Saccharomyces cerevisiae S288C: one gene and its partners. Changing the gene in region 2 together with the main gene of any one other region gives a genetic interaction. Each region holds a gene or a part of one and is shown on either strand. Other genes may lie near its edges.

Region 1 (3,322 bases), on a different chromosome or scaffold from region 2:
GCGAGCCTGATGAGAGAATCAGTGTGGACGCATTTCAGCGTATCTACAAGGATGATGAATTTCTAGCAAAACATATATTTCTTGATGTTAGGCCATCCCATCATTACGAGATATCTCATTTCCCTGAAGCAGTTAATATTCCAATCAAAAATCTAAGAGATATGAACGGTGATCTTAAGAAACTGCAAGAAAAACTTCCCAGTGTAGAAAAAGACAGTAATATAGTGATTCTTTGCCGCTACGGTAACGACTCTCAGCTAGCTACAAGATTATTGAAGGATAAATTTGGGTTTTCTAATGTACGAGACGTGAGAGGAGGATACTTCAAATACATAGACGATATTGATCAAACCATTCCTAAATATTAGTTGACCTATACATGTATAACGTGTATATGTAACTTTATTTTTTTTTATCCCTTTCCCTCCTTTCATTATTTCTTCTTGTCTGTCACTTATGCTCTATAACAGGAATGTTTTCGACACACTTGAGCAATTTATTCAGGCTGCATCCTGCAATTCTTTCAAGGCCGAAGCCAAATCCTTAATCAAATCATTAGCGGATTCACAGCCCACAGATACTCTTATTAAAGTTTGGTCGATATATGGGTCAGTCATTGCTCTCCATTCCACAAGGGATTCAATTCCACCCAGTGAGGTCGCATGATGGAAATATTTCAGCTTGAGGGGTAATTGTTTACACTGCTCTTTGGTGTACAAAGTGATAGCAAAAACGGGACCATATCCTCCTACCAGTTGCTTTTTAACGAACTCTTCTGTTTGTAAAGAAGAGTGGTAAATCGTCTTCAATACTTTGTCAAATTCAGATTGGTGATCTGACAAAAATCTAACTAATTTCGTAGCATTTTCTGATTGTTTGGTTATTCTCATTTCGTAGGTTCTCAGGGATCGCAACAACATGAAACTTTCCAAATTTGCCACGTTTGTACCCAAGTAGATTCTGTCGTCTTTTAGTTGTCGGGAAGTTGCTTCCTCTTTGACTACAAGGACGCCACTTAACAAGTCAGAATGACCACCAAAGTACTTAGTAGCAGAGTATAGGACAATATCGGCTCCGAAATTCCATGCGTATTGCAATGGAGGAGATGCGAATGTGGAATCCACTATAAGCAGGGCGCCTTTTGCATGAGCTCTGCGGGCCAAACTCTCGATATCAGAAGAGGTACCATATGGGTTTACAGGAGATTCCAGATGGACAATGTCACCTTCAGAAGCACATTTTTCAATATCTTCCAAGGGGTGTTGCTCAATGCCGTAATTACGGGTCAATATGTTAGCAATTGCTCGAACACCATGGTAGCTCTGTCCGATAAAGATCTTCTTAGGGTTGTAATGTACCATTGCCGCATAGAACGCAGCTAACCCTGAAGAATAAATGACAGCATAACCATCGAGGATCTCTGAGAAGATACTCTCTAATCTGGTGCTATTTGGATGCGCTAGCCGTGAATATACGGGCTTCTTCTCCATAAAGTCCAAGTTTTCACGCTCTGTCCATGGAATTAGGTCGTCATCGTCGTAACGGAAGGTTGTAGAGACATTAATTGGGGGCGCCACGTCAGTAACCCTGTTATCTTTATCATCGCCATGAATCAAAGCTGTTGACAAGTCCACCATCTTACGTACTCTTTTCGTGCAATCTTTCCTTTATAGCATGTACTACAACATTTGAAGAGATGGAGGGATTGCAACGATCTATTGTTGCGCAATATGCTTATATATCGCGTGTTGCATAAACCCATCAAGTGATCGCACTCTGAATTAAACACCGCAAAAAAATAGAAACCACAGTTTCACCATTTGACAAGAACTCACAAGATATCCTTGAGGTCTATCAGTAAGTGGTTAATCCCGTACCAAAGCGTATGTGAAGGACTTCAGAAACAGTTATTTCACGTACTACAATTATTACAACTGGCCCTCTTTCCCTTATATATACTGTAAATATTGCGACTGACATGGAGACCACATAATCACACGTGATAAATAGTCCCGTTCAACTTACGTATATAATGTGATTCAGTGTTCCGCCAAGGAGTAAACTCCTTTAGTTTAAGGTCTGCTTATTTTTGCAACAGAAGCCTGCCTTGGCTTTCGAGATACTAGTTTCTGGCTACGGTTTTCTATTCCTTATCATTTTAGCCTTATCATACTTGCTGAAAAGTTGCAGATATCTCCACGCTCTTAAATGAAAGAAAAAAGGGCGTTTTCCTCCTGTATGAATGAAAGAAAAAATTCATGTTATGTGAGCAAGTAGGTAAAAAGAAAGAATAAAAGGTTCAGCTTTTCTATGTTCAGGATACAACTGAGAACTATGTCCAGCAAAACATGCAAGAGTGATTACCCAAAGGAGTTTGTCAGTTTCTTAAATAGCTCACACTCTCCTTACCATACAGTTCATAACATCAAAAAGCATCTGGTGTCAAATGGCTTCAAAGAGTTGAGCGAACGTGACTCGTGGGCTGGCCACGTCGCACAAAAAGGAAAGTACTTTGTGACAAGAAATGGCTCTTCCATTATTGCGTTTGCTGTTGGTGGAAAGTGGGAGCCTGGTAATCCAATTGCCATTACGGGTGCTCACACCGACTCCCCCGCATTAAGGATTAAGCCTATTTCTAAAAGAGTCAGTGAGAAGTATTTACAAGTGGGCGTGGAAACTTATGGTGGCGCTATTTGGCATTCATGGTTTGATAAGGATTTGGGCGTTGCCGGAAGAGTTTTCGTAAAGGATGCGAAAACTGGCAAATCCATTGCTAGATTGGTGGATTTGAATAGACCTCTGTTAAAGATTCCTACTTTGGCTATTCATCTGGACAGAGACGTAAATCAAAAATTCGAGTTTAATAGAGAAACTCAACTGTTGCCGATTGGTGGTCTGCAAGAAGACAAAACTGAAGCGAAAACTGAAAAGGAAATTAATAACGGTGAGTTTACCTCCATAAAAACGATAGTACAGAGGCATCACGCAGAACTTTTGGGGCTAATAGCCAAAGAACTCGCCATTGATACAATTGAAGACATTGAAGACTTCGAATTGATCCTTTATGATCATAATGCATCCACTCTAGGTGGGTTCAACGATGAGTTTGTCTTCTCTGGTCGATTGGATAATTTGACATCTTGTTTCACATCAATGCACGGTTTAACGTTGGCGGCTGACACAGAAATTGACCGAGAATCAGGCATTAGATTGATGGCATGCTTTGATCATGAGGAGATTGGCTCATCCTCCGCCCAAGGGGCAGATTCTAACTTCTTGCCTAATATATTGGAAAGGTTGTCCATCCTGAAGGGGGACGGTT
Region 2 (3,760 bases):
ACTGTCCTGCGCCTGCTTTCCTAACGCATCATCGCTAATACACCAGCTTTCATTGCTTGTTGCTGCGCTGTTGCTCGCATGGAACGTTTTCAGTGCGTCATCATCCTGGGATAAACTAAAGACTAAGTCACCAGTTTCATTTGAGGCTTTTCTCTGCGCGTTGACAAAAGAGGACAGATCAACCATATCACCTGGTTCACCCATGAGAATGTCCTTACTTAGTTGCGAATTGGTTCTGATCTGCCCTTCAGACTTGGAATATTCATTACTGTCATTACTTTTAAGCCTATTCATTTCTTCCTTGCCATCAGGCGTACAGGATTTGACCACAGAGTGTTGAAGGGGTGCATCGTCCGCTCTCGTAATAACCCCTCCGATACTATTTTCATTGTTGACACCGTTGACTGAAAAGGGCATGGACTGTGCATTAATGTTTTCATTTTTCATCATATCATCATATGGCATTTCATAATGTTGACTCTTGTAGTTGAAGATTGAGTTTATCGTGTTACTGTTTCGTCTACCTTTCATATTATCAATCAGGTTGCGGTGTTGCATGTGGGAGATAGGACTGCCCGATCTTCTTCTTCTCGATTCTCCACTAAAATCCTGTCTTTTATCGCTATCCAGCACACGATTAAGCTGTGAATTGCCGCACTTTTTAGGATAACCATCCTTGGCATATCTAGGGTTATCTTTTAGTGGAAAATTATCACTTTCTAAGTTAATGTCCGCATTGCTGTCATAAAAGGATACTGGTGTTGCGGGAGTAGATGCTAGTTTAGAAGGGGTATAGGCCAGGGAAGAAGGTGTCATTGCCTGATTGATTGTCATTGAAGCAGCCGACCTTTGTTCTTTTGGAGATTGCGAGTCACAGCCTACGGTCAAAGGTAGCTGCTTCGTATAATGATAATATCTTTGCTTTTGGCCTTTGATCTTCAACGAATTGAATGTGTTGGAATTCCGTGCATTGGCGTTTTGCATCCCATGGTTGTGATGGGTCGGTGACCCATTGAGAGCTGAATCATCTACATCAATGGCCTGTTCAGATACACAAAGGGAAGGCCGCAGTGGGGATAATAGTGCTGTTGGAAGCTTTTGCTCATAATATTCATTTTTCGATTCTGGTTCAATTAAGGAGTCCTCTTCTTCTTTAATCATAGAGTTAGAACCGGCTGCACAATTGCCCTTATCTACCATAACCTCCAAATCAGGAGGAGCGGATTCAGATCTTCTATGTGATTTAAATGACCTAGGCCTTGTCTTCAACGCATCGTCAAGGTTAATAATGGCATCTGGGACGCCTTTAACTGGCGATGAAAAACTTGGCTCTTCACTAATGAAAAATCGTGGACTTGGTGTTTGCAGATTGTTCTTTGGTGATAACGGATAAAATCTTGGTTCAGGCAAATCTAACGTTCCAGCGTCTTCATTGGTTTTGCAAGGAAATCTATTGTAGCGTATTGGCGATAATGTACTTGATACAGCAGTTGGGGCAGTTGAAGGACAATTTTCAGCCGCCTGTGGAGGTGGTAAATTCACAATTGCTGCAGGCTGTTTCAAAAAATCAAAATCTCCTGATATTGCTAGCGATCTGCGATGGCGGTGACCTCTTTTGGATGGTGTAGACAAAGTATTTACAGGATTTGGCTCTGATATTTGCACATGTTGAGTATGCGTATTGGGCATTTTCCTATTCTGAGAAGGAGTATGAAATAATTGCCGAGGGTTCAGAATGCTCTTTTAGAAATAAAAATGAATGTAAATAGTTGGAATGTATCTTTAAGTAGACAAATGCAGGTAAGTTTTAGTGGCCTTTGCGGATTAACAGTATGCTCTTAGTGCAAAACACGAAAAGAGCTCCCAATCTTTGAACACAATCGACCACGGAGGAACAATACACGTAGAAGGGGATAACTAAAACTTTGTCGTGCAAGAGTATTGGAGGACACACTAACAGCAGAACTTTGCCTTCTTAACTCTTGTTTATGATTGCTTGAAGTATTACACATGTAATAAAAGATGATTATTTTTTTTTTCCTAAAAAAAGTTCCTTTCTTTGAAGATCCCCCTGATAAAAAAGATCAAATAATGGAAACGCTAATCATAATCAAATCGGGAGGAGAATAAACGCAAGAAGTGTGCGTTTCTAGCTGAGTAATGGTGACAAGACATAGAGTGACTGTACTCTACAATGCCCCTGAGGATATCGGTAATCATATGCGCCAAAATGACACTCATTTGACTGTTCGTGGAGGTTCTGGTGTGGTTTTACAACAAAGGTGGCTATTAGAGAGGACTGGAAGCTTGGATAAATCCTTTACGAGAATCACTTGGAGGCCCAGAGCGGACTTGGCTAGAAGTTTAAGCGTTATAGAAAATGAACTGAGTGCTGGCTTTTCAGTTTACTCAAATTCTTCGGATGTGCCGGAAAGGTTTATTACTAACCCAGTCTACAATTCATTTCACAGTGAGAAGTTTGACATAGAGCAGTACTTGCCTCCCGAAGTAGATTTGAATCTGTCATGGAATCCAGAAGATTTTACATATGATATATCAGTGGAGCCCACACAAATCCAAATTGTTGAATATCGTCTGTTGAAACAGGGTGAAGAATTTACAATTGCAAGAGTGAAAGATGAGAAACTCGAAGTAGGTGTATTCTTTGTGGATGCAAGTGATGAAAGTGATGTCGATATTGGTGGAATACGTTGTAATTGGAGGATGGACGATGGTAAAATGGAAAGATGTCAGAAAACATCCTTATTGTATAAACAGGGCCATATCGCATACAATCACTCGACGACTACGACATCACTATATCTGAATGAACCTATCGGTTTGCATCCAAAAATCATGATTGATCTCACAGATTTCGAAGAACGCCCTAAATGCATGTATCTAATGCACCTGCAATTGCCGTTAGAATTATTTATCGATAAATTCCAATCCTCTCCCTTACTACTTTTTGGAGAAGACGACTTAGAATTACCAGAATACTCTCTTCGAGATAAGGCATGGGGTTCTGAAAGTATCTTTGAATTGAAAGCCGGCACAATGAATGAAGTGACATTGCATACTAGATATATTGAGCCTTCTAATAATAAAGGGGATAAATTAGAAGTTTCATTTGATCCAGAAGTTATATTAGCCTGCGACACAGGTGACAATAAAGTTTCCCGTAATCCATTTTATAAAAAAGGTCTAGGATATGAATCTCTCTTTACAGACGATACTACATTCCGCCATTTGAACTCGACAACTCTTCTAGTACCAATTCCAAGGCCTGACACAAAGGATTATTCCAAGATCAAAAATGGTACGTTACTATGCTTACTCATCTCCATCATATACATTTTCTCCAAGGTATTTGGTAACAACAAGAAGAAAAGATCAGTAAAACGGGAATAAAAATTGTTCTACTGTGCACTCGTATTTTCTGAATTCAAAACGATAGGTTTCCTATAAGTTTTTTGATGATAATTTGATTAATTCTATGTATACATAATATATCTATTGCTTTCTTTTCCTTTATTTTCAATATTATACAAGGGAATGGAAAAATAATGCTCTTTGTTACTACTTTTTCTTGTGATGCTTCTTTGCGATACGTCTTAGGGCTCTTTGTTCATTCTTCATGACACCATCAACCATCTTATACTTACCCTTAACGCCCTTTGGTCTACCTGCCAAACCTTTGTTCCTACCTGAGGCAACAACCAAAGTAACCTTTGGCTTGGTCTTTGGTTTTTTGGTAACC
Region 3 (3,455 bases), on a different chromosome or scaffold from region 2:
GTGATTCAATATGAGTCTGTCCCTTGTATAGTACGGGCATGGAATATCCTGCGTATGGTACCATTGTACCGCCTAATGACACATGAAGGTCATGAAGAGCAGTTTTTTTCAAAGTTGAGTTGAATCTCTTAAACACAATTTTTTTGATTATAGACATTATTGCTTGTGCCAGGCAAAGCTCTTTCTACATATGTGAGCTACGGGTACTGTAATTGGATTTGTTTGGGTTCAAGGTGCTATATATATGATATTTGGACCTATTCTTTTTGACATACCGTTTACTCGAGGCAACACGAGTCAGGGCTCCTGAGCAGAGTCGCCCTGCCGAAAGAAGTCACGGCGATGAACAAAATAGGTGATATCTATGACCAGCTCTAAGTAAGAACTCAGCTTCCCGTGAGCATGGTTCTAATGGAGTAAAAGCGCCCATCGAGATCCAAGAATGCAAAAAAAAAATCAATAAGCTTGTGTGGGTAAATACGGATGTTAGTCGCATCGAGCCGATTAAAAGTGGCGCAGATATAGAAGGCAAGGACCTCATGACAGATCGTAATATCTATCTTTCTCCAAGTCCATTGTTTCAGCTTCGAAATCCCATAAACGTGGGCGTATTTTGTTGTTCGTATTGTTGCCTTCTATTTGGCTTTTGGTATCTTCGATTGCTTTAACTATACCGTCCACGAGGACTGCGCGCCCTAGATTTTCATTTGTAGAAGGAATGATCAAATCTGCAAAAGTTCTAGTGGGCTCTATATATTGTTGCATCTCCGGGCGCAGATGGTCCATATACTCAGTGATCAACTGGGCTAGTTGTTCATTGCTCCCTACGTTCTTCTTCTTGATTAGACTAATTAATCTTTTATCTGCATCACTATCCAAGAATACTTTTAATTGAGATATTTCGTTGATGCGTTTATCGTATAGCGCATAACAGCCACATACTATTATCAAATCTATCGGGTCCTCGTAATCATGTTGAATCATGTCATTTTGAGAAGTTACAGCGTGCTTTTCATATACCAAATTAAGGATATTATCAAAATCATAGTCGTTATTATTGTAGCTCTTGATGTTCCCTTCTATCATATTATCTAGGTTTATTACCCTTATATTGATAGAGTTATATAGGCTTTTGAAAGTATTTTGTAAATCCAGTGCAATTGCTCCAACACCAGTAGCATGCCCTCCACCGATAGAAATAACAATTCTTTTTTCTTCGACAGCTTTTCTGTCCATTTCCTGTAATATTTATCTCGCTAATTGTTAATGCAGGAAACGAAAATTAAAAACGATTTCCCTTGTGGTATGCTCTAGGAAAAATGTACAGATAAATTGAATTATCCGTGATGGCAGCGTACAATCCATAGTTGCTTACTATTTGATCTGCTTTTTCTATCAGTGTCGAGAATTTATGCCGAAGTTTGAAAATTTTATTTTATGCGATGAGCTAGATAATAGCAGGGCCCAGACAAAATAAAAACATGAATTATACACAAATTTTAATATAAAAGGGCCACCACTCCTTCAAGAGGTATAAAAATTTGTTCACTCAAATAAAATAGACCGTACAGAAACAAAAAAAAAACTCATTAGACATGTCGTTTGACAGAGAAGAAGACCAAAAATTGAAGTTTAAAACATCGAAAAAATTAAAGGTGTCTTCTACTTTTGAAAGCATGAATCTAAAAGATGACTTACTTCGAGGAATATACTCATACGGTTTTGAAGCACCATCCTCTATCCAATCAAGGGCTATTACACAGATTATTTCGGGCAAGGACGTTATAGCACAAGCACAATCAGGTACAGGTAAGACAGCAACTTTTACAATCGGCCTTTTACAAGCTATTGATTTAAGGAAGAAAGATTTACAAGCTCTAATACTATCTCCAACACGTGAATTAGCAAGCCAAATTGGGCAAGTAGTAAAAAATCTAGGGGATTATATGAATGTCAATGCATTTGCCATTACAGGTGGTAAAACTTTGAAAGACGACCTGAAGAAAATGCAAAAGCATGGTTGCCAGGCCGTTAGCGGAACACCAGGAAGAGTATTAGACATGATTAAGAAACAAATGTTGCAAACAAGAAATGTTCAAATGTTAGTTTTAGATGAGGCTGATGAATTATTGAGTGAGACACTAGGTTTCAAGCAACAAATATACGATATTTTTGCAAAATTGCCTAAAAATTGCCAAGTTGTTGTTGTCAGCGCAACAATGAATAAGGACATTTTAGAAGTAACCAGAAAATTTATGAATGATCCAGTTAAAATCCTAGTGAAGAGGGATGAAATATCACTTGAAGGTATCAAACAATATGTCGTTAATGTTGACAAAGAAGAGTGGAAATTCGATACTCTGTGTGATATATACGATTCTTTGACCATTACACAATGTGTGATATTCTGTAACACCAAGAAAAAAGTAGATTGGTTATCTCAGCGGCTAATCCAATCAAACTTTGCTGTAGTCTCCATGCATGGTGATATGAAACAAGAAGAAAGAGATAAAGTAATGAATGATTTTAGAACAGGTCATTCTCGTGTACTGATATCGACGGATGTTTGGGCGCGCGGTATTGATGTCCAACAAGTTTCTTTAGTCATTAACTATGACCTACCAGAAATAATAGAAAATTACATCCATCGTATCGGTAGAAGTGGTCGATTTGGTAGAAAGGGTGTGGCTATAAACTTCATTACCAAAGCTGATTTAGCAAAACTTAGAGAAATTGAAAAATTCTATTCTATCAAAATAAATCCGATGCCAGCAAATTTTGCAGAATTATCATAAAATATAGAGAACATATACCTACATAAACAAGTTAAGAGAGTCTCATCCATGCGGCTTCATTTTTGCTTTCATACGGAATTGGAGAGCATTTGTAATTGTTCATTTTGTGTGACGTAGAGTTTAATTAAGTCATTCAAACTCAAATCGCGAAGAAAAGGAGACAGATCGCAAAATTGTGAAATTACATCGAGCTCAATGTCCGAGTCCACTCTGAATCTATCACTGTCAACGCTAAGTTCTTCCTCTTCATCATTAGATTTATCATCACCATGTGATGATAATGTTCTCATTTGGTTTTCCTCCAAGCTGAGACTATTTGTCCTATGTGACAAAAGCTCATATTGGTCGCTGATTAGTGTGATATCCTCAAGAGATCCCGATTCATCCAATTGGACAATTATGACATTTTCAAGTTCATCTCCGACCTTATCTATTCCTGCTGTCAAAGCAGCATCACTTGAATCTACTAGTTCATCATTGTTGTCCTCAAATATGTACTTAATGTTAGTGGGAAACATTGCATAATCACTTCCGTCCGTGCTCTTTGATTCATTATTGTATGCTGGTTGATCATCGTTGCTGGGACCCTTGTTATTTTTGATATTCTCTTCTAATCTGTACTTGACATTTTTATCATAAACAGTAACTGTAACATTCATT

The links.
Region 1: mutations in PBN1 (region 2) and YHR112C together harm fitness more than expected from each alone (negative genetic interaction), as found in Saccharomyces cerevisiae (one large-scale study listed by BioGRID).
Region 3: mutations in PBN1 (region 2) and FAL1 together harm fitness more than expected from each alone (negative genetic interaction), as found in Saccharomyces cerevisiae (one large-scale study listed by BioGRID).

The regions. Positions count from the first base shown.
Region 1 is NC_001140.6:334,027-337,348, forward strand, and holds YHR112C (putative cystathionine beta-lyase), read right to left. Parts: upstream 1,638-3,322; coding exon 501-1,637; downstream 1-500. Other genes in the region: UBA4 (Uba4p), read left to right, coding at 1-368; APE4 (aspartyl aminopeptidase), read left to right, coding at 2,311-3,322.
Region 2 is NC_001135.5:33,794-37,553, reverse strand, and holds PBN1 (Pbn1p), read left to right. Parts: upstream 1-2,160; coding exon 2,161-3,411; downstream 3,412-3,760. Other genes in the region: LRE1 (Lre1p), read right to left, coding at 1-1,689; SPB1 (27S pre-rRNA (guanosine2922-2'-O)-methyltransferase), read right to left, coding at 3,580-3,760. UniProt on the Saccharomyces cerevisiae protein: Required for proper folding and/or the stability of a subset of proteins in the endoplasmic reticulum. Aids the autocatalytic processing of PRB1.
Region 3 is NC_001136.10:485,209-488,663, forward strand, and holds FAL1 (ATP-dependent RNA helicase FAL1), read left to right. Parts: upstream 1-1,595; coding exon 1,596-2,795; downstream 2,796-3,455. Other genes in the region: GCV1 (glycine decarboxylase subunit T), read right to left, coding at 1-157; putative uridine kinase DAS2, read right to left, coding at 538-1,236; ATG31 (Atg31p), read right to left, coding at 2,864-3,454. UniProt on the Saccharomyces cerevisiae protein: ATP-dependent RNA helicase involved in 40S ribosomal subunit biogenesis. Required for the processing and cleavage of 35S pre-rRNA at sites A0, A1, and A2, leading to mature 18S rRNA.